Linked DNA regions of Ovis aries. The protein of the gene in region 1 binds, or shares a complex with, the protein of each later gene. Links are inferred from orthologs where the notes say so. Each region holds a gene or a part of one and is shown on either strand. Other genes may lie near its edges.

Evidence for each region. Proteins that work in one complex are often made in the same cells at the same time.
Region 2: TAF1B (region 1) and POLR2F share a complex: the UniProt entries of both Homo sapiens proteins name them as parts of the pol I pre-initiation complex. The link is inferred for Ovis aries from reciprocal best matches to the Homo sapiens genes TAF1B and POLR2F.

Annotation. Positions count from the first base shown.
Region 1 is NC_056056.1:19,133,823-19,140,433, forward strand, and holds part of TAF1B (TATA box-binding protein-associated factor RNA polymerase I subunit B), read left to right. Parts: intron 1-357; coding exon 358-505; intron 506-4,069; coding exon 4,070-4,247; intron 4,248-4,792; coding exon 4,793-4,839; intron 4,840-5,625; coding exon 5,626-5,716; intron 5,717-6,611. UniProt on the Homo sapiens protein: Component of RNA polymerase I core factor complex that acts as a GTF2B/TFIIB-like factor and plays a key role in multiple steps during transcription initiation such as pre-initiation complex (PIC) assembly and postpolymerase recruitment events in polymerase I (Pol I) transcription.
Region 2 is NC_056056.1:215,578,391-215,584,590, reverse strand, and holds part of POLR2F (DNA-directed RNA polymerases I, II, and III subunit RPABC2), read right to left. Parts: intron 4,077-6,200; coding exon 3,946-4,076; intron 1-3,945. UniProt on the Homo sapiens protein: DNA-dependent RNA polymerase catalyzes the transcription of DNA into RNA using the four ribonucleoside triphosphates as substrates.

The DNA of each region.
Region 1 (6,611 bases):
GGCGAGCAGAAAGTCCTGCTTTGCCGGGATTATGATGACATCATAATTCCAGTAGGATTGCAGCTTTATCCCAGATTCTTCTATGATTGGCAAGAAGTAATGGCTTCACTATATCATTAAGGCCAGTAAGAATTGTTAGAGCCAGATAGAATTTTAGTGGCTTTTTAATTTATCACTATTACTGTTTAAAACAGCTCAGTGAGGATATTTGGGGTTTATGGGTGTTTCTCCTTAATGTTTTTAATCTATACTCCAAGTTTTATTCAGTGAATACATGTTATTTTTAAAATCAGGAAGTAGTTTTTAAAATAATTTATGTTGCAGAAATTGCTACTTTGACTATCTCTTTCATTCCAGTCTTGGCCTAACTATGAAGTTATCTTTAAAAAAATAATTGAAGTTGCCACATTCTTAGATTTGCCGCGTTTTCCAGACATAACTGAAAACTGCTATCTTCATCCAAACATCTTGTGTATGAAATACTTGATGGAGGTCAATCTCCCTGGTAAGTGTGAGGTATATATTATGAGTAAGCCTTGACTTATTGAATTATTATGAAAAATGTATTGAATCCTCTCAATCAGAGACTATTAGAGTCACCTGACAGGGTCTACAGTAACATGAAGCTTAACTTCAAAATTCTTTCTTAAAATGTTTTGGACCATTTAAAATGGTTAAAAGGACACTTTCAGAAGTAATGAGTTCTGTTTTGGATGGGAGGGATAAGCTTGAAAGATAATGTTTGGTTTTTACAGTAAATTTTTGCTGAATACAAGTAACACATGATTCAGTATGTATTATTAATTACTTAGGAACCTCTACCAAAAAAGGGCAGCACTCCTTCATTTGCATGAAGCATGATTATTAAATAAAGAATTCCAATTTTTAAAATCCCAGAAGTTAATCTACAGTGATATTTTTATTATTTAGTAACATTGCTATTTCCAGTCCCTGAAACAAATGGAGATGAAGGTCTGGTAGGATGCAAAGGCAGCCTCACTACCCTTCTTCACAATACACCAAGACACAGGTCACCCCAGCGGAATTCGCCGATGGAATCTACTCCTGAATTTCTTGCTAAACTAGAAATGTGAGAACTGCAGGGTTTCTATTCTTAACAGAAAATACAAACATGGCATGACTATATTATTGCTTATGCAGTATAAAAAAATGTGATTGAATATATTTTTAATAGGAAAGGAAAAGACATGTTATATGAAAAAAATATATATAAAACTGCATGTATGATATAATTTTAGCTATAAAAATAAACATAAATTGGAGTAACATGTATACAAATATAAATCTAAGTCTTATAAAATATTTTTTAAAGAGGAAAAAATAAGCTTCTCAAAGGTATCATTTATTAAGCTAAGGAATGTTGCTGTAACTTTAGAAGTCACTGGCTCTTTGATTAAGATTCCAGAATTTGGGAAGTCTGATTTCTGCACTTTGGCATGTTACATATATCAGTTTATTGTTTTGGATTTTGGTTTTTTGAGTTACTTTTGGAGTGGTTCTTTCAAAATATGGCGGGTTCCTCTGTTCTATTATATACTCCAAAATCGTAAGCTCATAATGAAGAACACTAAGATATGGAAAGAATGCAAGGAATTACCAAAATATAACTGGCTTGGGCTGGGTTATGGCAAGTATCTAGCTCACATAGTTGCTATTGGACAGAAACGATGGTGGTAGTGTTTTCTGACCAGTGTGTATAACTTAATAGTATTTCTCACCTAACTCTTCCTGAGAGTAAGAAGTAGAATTAAAACCACTATAATATACAGAGAGATACTGCTATCATCTGATGTTGTAAAGTGCTATTTTAGAGACCATATTAAAAAGAGCCAGGATAGAAAAATTTTACTTCTCACAAAGTGTTCAATAGAAATAATTTGGAATATAGATAAAAAACTATACACAAATGTTATTGACCCTATTTATAATACTGAGAAATCAGAAATAAATATCCAATGGAAAGGTAATGTTTAAGTAAATATTTTGTATATTCAGTAGAACCATGTGCATCTTTTAAAATTATGTTTGTGAAGAGTATATAAAAGCATGGGAAATGTTTATGTCATAATAGAAAAGGAAATAGGCCAAATTATAAATTATATATAATATAATCATAGCTATATAAAATTAAAATATTCATGAAAATATTGGGAATAAATTTATCCCAATATTGAAGTGCTATTTCTAAGTTATAGTAATGCATTTTTTCTTTCTTCCCACTTTATGTATCTTATAAATGTCCTATACTGAGTTTATATTACATAATAGTGGGAGGAAAGAGTAAACAAAATAGATCTACTAACTAAGATGTGGTGGTCCCTTCACCTTAGAAATTGCATTCTAAAATGTGACATTGATTGGCCTCCTACCCATGAAATTATAAGAAGGCTTCTAGAATATTGCCATTTTCAAAGCTGAAAGTTTGCACTCTATAGTTCTCTTGTGCTGTTGATCAAAAAGAAGAGATCTGTGTACTTGGCCCTTTTTCAAAGAGAGGTTTTCGGGTTCCCAGAAAGCTAAAGGTGGTTTTAAGCATGCTAGGGCAACGAATGCCCCTCCTCAGTGCCTTTATGTATGACAATGTCGTCTTTGGAACTGGGCAGAAAGCAGCTTCCAGCAAGCATGTCACACACACACACCCTTGCTGAGTAAGCACTGCCTCCTTGGTGGCTCTGACTGAACTCCAAATACATCCCTTAGTTTTATCCCTCATCCTGGGACTGAGGAGCTGGCCAGAGAGAATTCCTGGCAGCTTTCATAATCATGTCTGTTTAATTTGTGGGGAACCCTGTAGAGTTTCCAAAGTGCCTTCATCTGTATTACCTCATCGTGAAGGTGGAAAGGGAGGACAGGTGGGTGTGCTCATCTCAGATGAGACGTAGGCAGGTTGAGTGACGCCTGGCTGCCGGATGGCCGAGGCGTCATATAATACTCCAGGTCACATAATACTCCAGGTCAGAATCTTAGTTTTTCTCTCCTGTCCTGGCTTCCTTCCTCATAATTTTTTTCATTTGCTTTTTATTACTATGTACTTTTAGTATAAGAGAAGCAATTCAAGGTATTAATTTTAAATAAATAGGGGAGACATTCTTCAAGAAATACCATTTTTATAGTAATAAAATTCTGTATATAATACTTTATATAGAGACATGTATATACTGTATGTAATGTTATTTGGACTGTTATAAAAGTATGGTATACTACATTAAGAGAATAGAATCAACAGAACATAATGACTGACAGTATATAGGAAATGCAATACAACTTATTATGCTCTTGTAAATAACAACTGTTCTACTTGAATTTAATCACAATATAGGTACTTCAGTTAGTAAGTAAAGAAATTTGCTTAGTAATTCAGAGTTTTCAAAGTATAATTCACTTGTCCTATCTTTTATGTCCTGTGTTTATCCTCACCATAACCCATTTTACAAGTGAAGAAACTGAGGTTGAGTGGCTCTAGTCCGGAGTCACAAAGCTCATGATCAGAAAGCCTAAATATATAGGCTGTAGGTGTTCTGGCTCCAAGTCCCAAGTTACTCAGCCTTGAATAATAGATGAGTCTGTGCTGAGCATGTAATTTCTTTGGGAAAGCAGGGCAGCAGGTGAGGTGCACACTGGGCCTTCCAGTGTGCTAGCCAGGCTCCCTAGCTTCCCAAGTGAGTGCACATTTTTAGAGAAGCCCTTGGTCCTACAGGAAAGTTGGTTTCAGGTAAATGCAGATTGCTGTAGAAACACAGACAAGGGGCGTGGATGAAGCAATAGAAGATGGATGTGTGCCTGTATATTTGGTGCCAAGATATGTGCCATAGATAGCAGGCATTTTGGGAAGTCAGAATAGGAGAAGATAGACCTTGCCAGGATTCGACCATATGTTTTTCTCTACACATTTCATTTTTTGGTTTATGTATACACAAAATGGTATGTCTCAGAGTTATGGCATAGTATCATATTTTAAGATAAAGCTTATCTCATGTATGTATACATTAGTATGGTCTCATTAACCAAAGAATTTAATTTCACATTTTTCTGTTTTATTCTTCAACAGATGAAATGCATAATTTAACCTGCCTAGTGGTAAAAGCGACTGGAATAGGAGAAGTGGATTTTCTAAGATTTGATCCTATAGCTAAAAAGGCAAAAACTGTTAAATATGATGTGCAAGCTGTAGCTGTCATTGTAGTGGCATTGAAACTGCTCTTTTTATTGGATGACAATTTAGAATGGTAAGTGTATGTAGTCTTAGGAGAAAAAAATTTTATTATTTTCCCCTAATTATTCAGAGTAAAGGGCTCCATATGTTATGTCTCAGTAGAAAGTAGAGACTCTGAGTTGTTACAGAACACTGACTAGTAGCAGCAGTTACTCCTTACCTAATGTTTTGGCTCAGGTATTTGTCAGAGATTTCATTCTCCTTTAGTAAGTTGTTTGGATCATGTTTTCTTCCATTTTTAGGAAGATGCACATGTGTCTCATTCTCCTGAGTTTTAAATCATACACAAATTCTAAAGAGTCACTAGCACTTCATCCATGTACCTTTTGGTTTCTGGCACTATGTGTCTTCAAAGATTATTTTGGAAAGTGAAAGAATCTTAAAATGCCAACAAAGAGTGGCAGTGTCTTCTTCCCTATTTCAGTGCTTGCTTCTGCATTAAAAGTTGGCATCAGTTTCAAGTACTGTTCTATACTTCTCTTTCAGAAGAATTCAAAATTTAACTGTCTTCTAATGAATGATTTCCAAATAAATTGATTTGTTTATTTGTGTCTCCAGGTCTTTGTCTAATATTGCCAAGAAATATAATGAAAAGAACAAAGAAGGTACTTTTTTTTTAATCAATCAAGTGATTGTAAAAGGTGAATTAAAAGATGCAATAAATATAGAGAAGAAGCTGAGAAATATATAAATTGTACCTTGTATCAGACTGTTTATATGTGTAGTTATCTAGTATATCTTCTATTCTCAAGGAGGTATAGTCAAATCTAGGAGAACAGACATGTAAAAAGATGGTTTCAATATGTGGAATCTAGAAAAATAGTAAAGATCTTATTTGCAAAGCAAAAATAGAAACAGAGCTGTGGAGAAGAAACGTATGATTACCAGAGGGGAAAAGGCAGGGGCGTGGGGTGAATTGGGAGATGGGGATTGACATCTCTACACTGCTATGTATAAGACAGATCACTGATGAGAACCTGCTGCGGAGAACCTGCTGTGGAGCTGCGGGAGCTCTGCTCAGTGCTCTGTGGTGACTTAATTGGAAGAAAGTCCAAAAAAGGGGGATATATGTGTATGTATGGCTGATTCAGTTTACTGTACAGCAGAAACTGACACCACAGTATAAAGCAGCTATATTCCATTTTTTTTTTTTAAAGGTAGTTTTGGTGTAATACAGGGCCACAGTATAGGTGAGAGCTCAGAACAGAAGGGAGTGACAGCAGATTGCTCAGGAGTCATATTAGAGCATGAAGATAGTCAGTCCCTCCATAATTTCCAAGGGCTGGCATATAAATGTTCAGTCAGATCAGTGAGTAAAGACTCAAATGAGCAACATGTGTTATAATAATGTGACATACTTGGTTAATAATCATGGATTTCATTTCTTTCAGATAAACCATGGTTTGATTTCAGAAAATGGTACCAAGTTATGAAGAAAGCTATTGATGAGAAGAAACAAAAGTGGGAGGAAGCCAGGGCAAAGTATGTTACCTCTTCTAGCTTTAGATTCACCTACTTTATTTTTCAAGTCTATTGCTTTACGTCTGAAAGCTCAAGTTTCATCAGTTCAGATTCACCAGCATTATGACCCTTTTTTCTAGAATTAACCCCTCTGTCTAAACTGACATTTTAAAATATTTCTATTAACTATTAGTGAGTGAGTGAAAGTCGCTCAGTCATGTCCGACTCTTTGCGACCCCATGGGCCATTATAGTCCATGGAATTCTCCAGGCCAGAATACTGGAGTGGGTAACCTTTCCCTTCTGCAGGGGATCTTCCCAAACCAGGAATCAAACCGGGGTCTCCTTCACTGCAGGCAGATTCTTTACCAACTGAGCTATCAGGGAAGCCCTATAATGTCCTTTTAGGGGCGTTCCTGGTGGTCCAGTGGTTAAGACACCACACTGCCAATGCAAGGGAGGTGGGGTCCATCCGTGGTCAGGGAACTAAGATCCCACATGCCACACTGTGTGGCCAGAAGATTTAAAAAATAGTAATATTAGTGTCCTCCTGATCCAGAATCCAGTCCAGGCAGCCTGTATTGTACTCAGTACTCGTCTTTTCGTAATCTGCATGACTCTTCTCTGCATTTCTGGTATTCCTCCCTCTTTCGTTTCCCACAGTGGATCAGTTCCCATCTGTGCTTCCCGCTGTTACAAAAGACTGCAGACGTCAGCCTGTGTCATTTATAACTGGACTGTTCCTCCAAAATAAAGTTCCCGATACAAATCCAAACAAAGCAAAGCGGAAAGAGAGTAGCATGTTTAATTCAGGCAGTCTCACTGTTTGACCTTGAGCTCTCCTCCTCATGTAGGTCCATTGTTGTCGTTTAGTTGCTAAGTTGTGCCCAACTCTTCGTGACCCCTATGGACTGCAG
Region 2 (6,200 bases), about 200 Mb from region 1:
CAGTAATTTCCTCAAGGTCACACAGCCAGTGAGTGGTAGAACCAAGATTTGAACCCTGAAGACTCCTCTCTACTATTCTGTAACACCTCCCATTAAAAAACTGGTGATCCACAAACTGAAGCCAGGTACTGTGAAAGGGACAAGTGTGAGCTGTCATTACTGGGTCGTGTGACACTCATCACGTCCACTACCCTGGCCAAGGACCTTCCCCAGGGCCTGTCACAGACTCCTGAGCCCACGGCCACAGCAGAATATTCCCACACAAAGGACCCACATGTGCAAGAGCTCACCCTCTGATCACTCTACTCAACCCCCAGCCCTGCCTCAGGGCCTAGCTCGCCTCGTCTTCCTTCTCTGTCTTGGCAACACCCCCTGCAGGGGTCCTGCTCCTCTAGCCCCTACACAAGGCCTGTGGTCAGGCTCTCCCCTGCTTACCTCTCTTCCTTGATACCCCATGGCCAACAGGCAGGCAGGACCTCCTCTGGCCCCCACTCACCTCTGCAGTACTTTCTCATGCTACCTGCCTCTATTCACCCTACATTCCAGCCACATCAAACCACTATAGCTTCTTATGCAGGCCCTGTTGTTTCCCTTCTGCATCCTCACACGACTGCTTCCTCTTCTTACAGGCCTGAGAGAGGCTCAGAGGTCTCCACCCTGGAAAGCACGCGCTGAAGCCTCAGGGCCCTGACTCATCTCACACACACTTCTCTCAACACCACTGTCACTAAACTGTGACTTCCCGTTTGAAGTTTTCCAAACAAGACCTGGTGGTCCAGGACCCCAAGTTCTATTCTAGTGCAACACCTGGCCCACAGCAGAGGGTCTAAAAGCAGACAAACCAGTTCCAGGCCCATCTCCTCTAGGAAGTCACCCTTATTGATTCCAACTCAAGTTTACACTAATGGACCCCAAACCTGATAGGAGAGCGTGCTAAAAATACAGGTTCCCAGGTCCTTCCCCAGACCCGCTGAACAGATTCTCTAGTGAAGGAGCCTGAGAACCTATATTAGCAAAGCTCCCCTGGTGATTCAGATAACCAGCCAGTCTGAGAGCCACCAGTTTACACTAAATGATCTACTAATTTTATTGCTAAATATTCTGATGTCTGTTACTCCCCAAAGCCTGAAAATTCCCCAGGGGCAGAAACCAAGTATTTAACTTTCTCTATATCTTCTCTCAATAATTATTTAAACTTCCCCCAACATTTAAGAATGTGGCAAACTGCTTTCCCTGACATGCATATGCCTTATTTCTTTCAAGATATGAATAATTCAAGAGCAGTCATTCATCCAGCCCTGCTACATTCACAGGAAATGTGAGAGTGTGCCCTCAATGTCTCCACCAGGGTTTCCAAGTGGCAACCTTCCTTGGGAAGCAGCCATGGGGTCGCAAAGAGTCAGCCACGACTCAGCGGCTGAGCACAGCACAGCACAGTTGCAACCATTCAGCCACCAGATGGGGCTAATGAGCTGGAGTGAGACTTCATCCACAAATACCCAAGAAAACATTGTTCAGCTTCTACTACTAAGCACAGGCTTCCCTTGTAGCTCAGTTGGTAAAGAATCTGCCTGCAGTTCAGGAGACCCGGGTTCGATCCCTGGGTTGGGAAGATCCCCTGGTGAAGGAAATGGCAACCCACTCCAGTATCCTTGCCTGGAAAATCTCATGGACACAGGAGCCTGGTGGGCCCCAGTCCATGGGGTCGCAAAGAGTCGGGCACAACTGAACAACTAACACTTACTAAGTGCAGGATTGCAGGCCCATAACTCAAGACAAGCTCCAGCCCTGACTGTCCAAGGGCTTACAGCAGCTGGGAAACCACCAGACAGCCTCTGAGCTCTTAATCTGAAGGAGTGCTACAGCCCCAAAGGGTTGGACAAGAGTCTTAACCTCCAAAGGAAGGCAGGACCCTGGGCCTTGTTTGGAATGCCTGCTCGACTGTCCACCCAACGCATGCCCATCTTCTAAACTTGTCACTCAAGGGACCAGTGGCATCTTTTCCAGTCTTGTGCCCCAAGCGCTTGCCATTCCTCCACCACAATCCACACATGTCTGCCTTCACTTTCCTAGTGCTATTTCTGGCACCTAGGAGACCTTCAAAACCACGTCACTTTATTCTCTTCTCTCCTTTTGTTTCTCTTGTAAAGCATCAGCCTCGTCTGCCTTGGGTTCTGAGTATTTAGAACGGGCTCCCGTTCCCTACTAGACAGTAAACATCTAGAGGACTAGGGAATTGTGTCTTTAATCCTCTTTACACCTCCAAAAGGCATGAGCACAATATCTTATTTGGTGCTGAAAGACTTTAACTTGCATACACTTTATCTGTTTAAAAAACAGATTATGAATTATTCTTCCTGCTGGGTGGCATTCAGCAGACATGAATACTACCCCTCTAGCACTCTACAAGGATGGAAATGTCCTCTATCTGTGCTACCTATCACGGTAGCCACAGAGGCTACTGGGCACGTGAAATGTGACTAAGGAGACAGAAACACTGAACTCCTATCTGCTGCTGTTGCTAAGTCGCTTCAGTCGTGTCTGACTCTGTGCAACCCCATAGATGGCAGCCCACCAGGCTCCCCCATTCCTGGGTTTCTCCAGGCAAGAACACTGGAGTGGGTTGCCATTTCCTTCTCCAATGAACTCCTATCCAGTTTTACTTAATTTAAATGGCCAAATGTAGGGAGCAGTGACCATACCTGTGGTGCAGGCCTAGAGGATCCTGACCCCAGCAACACTGAAATCATCATACGGGGTGCGGCTCTCAACTCACCCAGACCAGCAAGGGGTGCAACCAGGCTGGCAGGAGGCCTCCTGCTGCCAAGTGAGTGAAGAACAACAGTTTCCCGCCCCAATAAGACCCTCCACCGAGTGGTCACCTTCACTCCACAGATAAAGTCCAACACTGTTTGAAAACTTTGGGCAGGGAGCACACAGATTGAGCATCACCGCTCCCCTAGCATATTTATCACCCCACAACTCTGACCCCAGCTTTTCTTTCAAGCCTGTTTCCCACTCCTCTCTTCTCGAAGCACCCCTCCTTCAGGTGTCCACCATTTCCCCCAGCAGCTGGTAAGAAGTCTGAAATAGGGCTCCTTTCTGCAGCCTCTTGTTTCCCTGGGCAGGACCTGCCATGAGAGCAACAGTAACACGCCTGCCCTCTGTGTCCTCCCACTTAAGTCTCGCCAGAACAGAGGAGGAGTTCATCTGACAGGGAAGCCTGGCAGGGAAAGCCAGCAGCTGTGGCCCAGCCTCTTCAAGAGCCCTTGCTTCCTCAAAGCCACCTGTCCTCAGGGGGCTGCTTTTGGATCTGTTCTGCACGAGGCCCACGCCCTCGCAGACACGGCCTCTGACCCCTGCAATGCCTGTGGCTCATGGGTGGACATGTGAGCACCGCACATTTTGACCTGACCTGACTTGGCTACTGGCTGGCTCCCAAATCATGTTGTTCTTCAACAAGTTCCCAACTTGGGAGAGAAAGGAAGGGTTGCTAATTTCAACCCCCTACACCCCCGACCACTGCTCTGTGCTTCCACATTCCTAGTGCAGCCTCAACGTGGAGGGCTCTCTCACTCCCCTGGGCTGGCCCCAGTCTACTCAAGAACCACCTTAAGCCCAGCGGGAGCTGTGGCGGCACCCCAACTACCCAGCCCACAAGGGTCTAGGTCTGATCTTATTGCGTTCATTTTCGTTTCCCCACCTGACGGGCGGTCATCACACTCTGTACACTCACGGTTACTCTCTGCTGTTTATGTCCTATTCCCCCAACAATCTCCCCGAGAACAGGGGTCTAGCACAGCGCCTGGCACATGGGGATGGCGCCGCCTTTGTTCAGCCTGTGAGAAAGGGATGGGTCTGCTGCCAGGCCGGGCCATTATCAACAGCTCGGAGGCTCCCTGTGGCCTGACCAAAGGACACGATGGTGAGGGGGCTCATACTCACGCAATCTGAAGGGCTCGGGTGCCCAGCACGCGGGCTCGCTCATACTTGGTCATATATGGTGTGGTGATTCGTTTCTGGTTGGCCTGCGGTCGCTCTCCAGAAGGGAGAATCTCAACGTTCTCCTGGCCCTCCTGGACACAAAGGCAGAAAAGAGGGGAAAATCTCAGGCTGTATCACTGGGGGTGAGGGGCAGGACAACGACAACAGTGACTGTGAGCGCCTCCACGCTGCATGCCAGTGACCACACAACTGCCTTATTAACACCTCACCTAATCCTCACAAAAACCTTATCAAGTGGGGATTACAATGCTCATTTTAAAGGGCTGGACAGTTAGCCAACGTGGCCAAAGTCTCAGAGCTAGTGAAAGAGGAATCGTGATCAGGAGTCCAAAGCCAGCCGCCTCATCCAGCAGAGAGAGTTGGTCCCATACAAAGAAGTCCTTGAGCACAGACAACCTCACCCAAACCAAGAAGAGGAAGAAGCACCCCATCTTTACACATGTATATATTTAACAACCACTTATTAAGCATCTGTCATGTGCCAGACATGATAAAGGTGCTGAGACGGAGTCTCTGCTCGCCAAGAATTCACAGTCCAGCGAAAAGGCAAGAGTAAACAAAACATCAAGTGCTATGAAAGCGTGGCAGTGTGCCACAAACTACACAAGAAAGCGAGGGGCATCTACCTCATCCTGGGGGTTAGGAATACAGTCCAGAGATGAGACTTGGGCTAGTCTCCAAGGATGAGTACGAGCTGCCAAGCTAACAAGGAAAGAAAGAAAGGGCATTCCAGACAGGCTGAACTGCATATGTGCAAAGACACACGAGGGAAGAGAGTGTACTCAGCCTGGATGCCTAATCATGGGGTATGATAAGCCCAAAAGGTGCAAACAGGGTAGACAGGAGAATAAATTCTGTAATACAAAATTAAGCCAACAAATATTTACTGAGTGCTTACTCTTTGTCAGATAGCATTCTAAGTGCTTGACACAGAGCAGTAAGACAGATGAAAGTTCTTTCTCCCATACAGCTTTACATTATAATACAGTGAAAGTGAAAGTCACTCAGTCCTGTACGACTCCTTGTGACCCCACAGACTATACAGTTCGTGGAATTCTCCAGGCCAGAATACTGGAGTGGGCAGCCATTCCGTTCTCCAGGGGATCTTCCCAACCCAGGGATCAAACCCAGGCAGGTCTCCTGCATTGCAGGTGGATTCTTTACCAGCTGAGCCACCAGGGAAGCCCAAGAACACTGGAGTGGGTAGCCTATCCCTTCTCCAGTGGATCTTCCAACCCAGGAATACAGTGAGATGAACAATAATAAAATAAGTAGTAAAATGTGCAGTATAAAAACAGAGAGAAAAGACAGGGAGTGTCCGAGTGGTGATGTTGGAGGAAGGAGCAAATGCAGTGATTTGAAACAGAATGGTCAGGGAAGGCCTCATTGAGGTGACATGTAACACAGACCTGAAGGAGGCTGAGGAGCAGGTTGTGTGCATAACTAAGGGAAAAGGAAGAGGGAACAGCACGGTCAAAGGTCCTGAGCTGGAACTTCCCTGGCATGACAGCGATACCAAGAAGAGATAAGACCACAGAGGGAGCAGGCGGTCGGATCACGGAGGACCTTGTGCATGTTCTTGGCTTTTATTCGGAATGAGATGAGAAGTGACCAGACGCAGGTTCTGAGCAGAGGAGAGACAGAGTGACTGAAGATTTAAAAGGATCACTCTTGGATACTCTGTTAAGAACGTTCTGTAGAGGCTAAGGGCTGAAGCAGAGAGAACACTGAGCAAGACCAATAGTAACCAATCATGTGGGTAGGAGAAAAAGTCGACTCTGGCAGCAGAAAGGCAAACAGCAGACTCAAGGCAGGAAAACCGGTAACAAGTTTCTGCAGTAATGCGGATGAAAACCAATAAAGATCTAAACCAGGCTGAGGCACTAGGAATAGAGAAACGGGAACAGGACTGAACTACATGGAGGAGGCAGAATCAAGAGGAGAGAGATGGAAAGGCATCAGAAGAACCGAGAAGAAGGCTTCTGACTCAGTGAACAGATAACCTCAGAGTGTTAGGCAGACAGGAAAACCCACACAAAAGAGGGCCTTCACATTACCAATCTAAAAAAAAATCAAAGGATTCCTCTCTCCAGAAGACATAAAGCACTTCTTCCTCCACCAGTCACACAGCACAGAAGACCCTATTTTATCTATGACGCCAGTAACTCATCCACCAAGCTGCTCAAGCCAGAGAC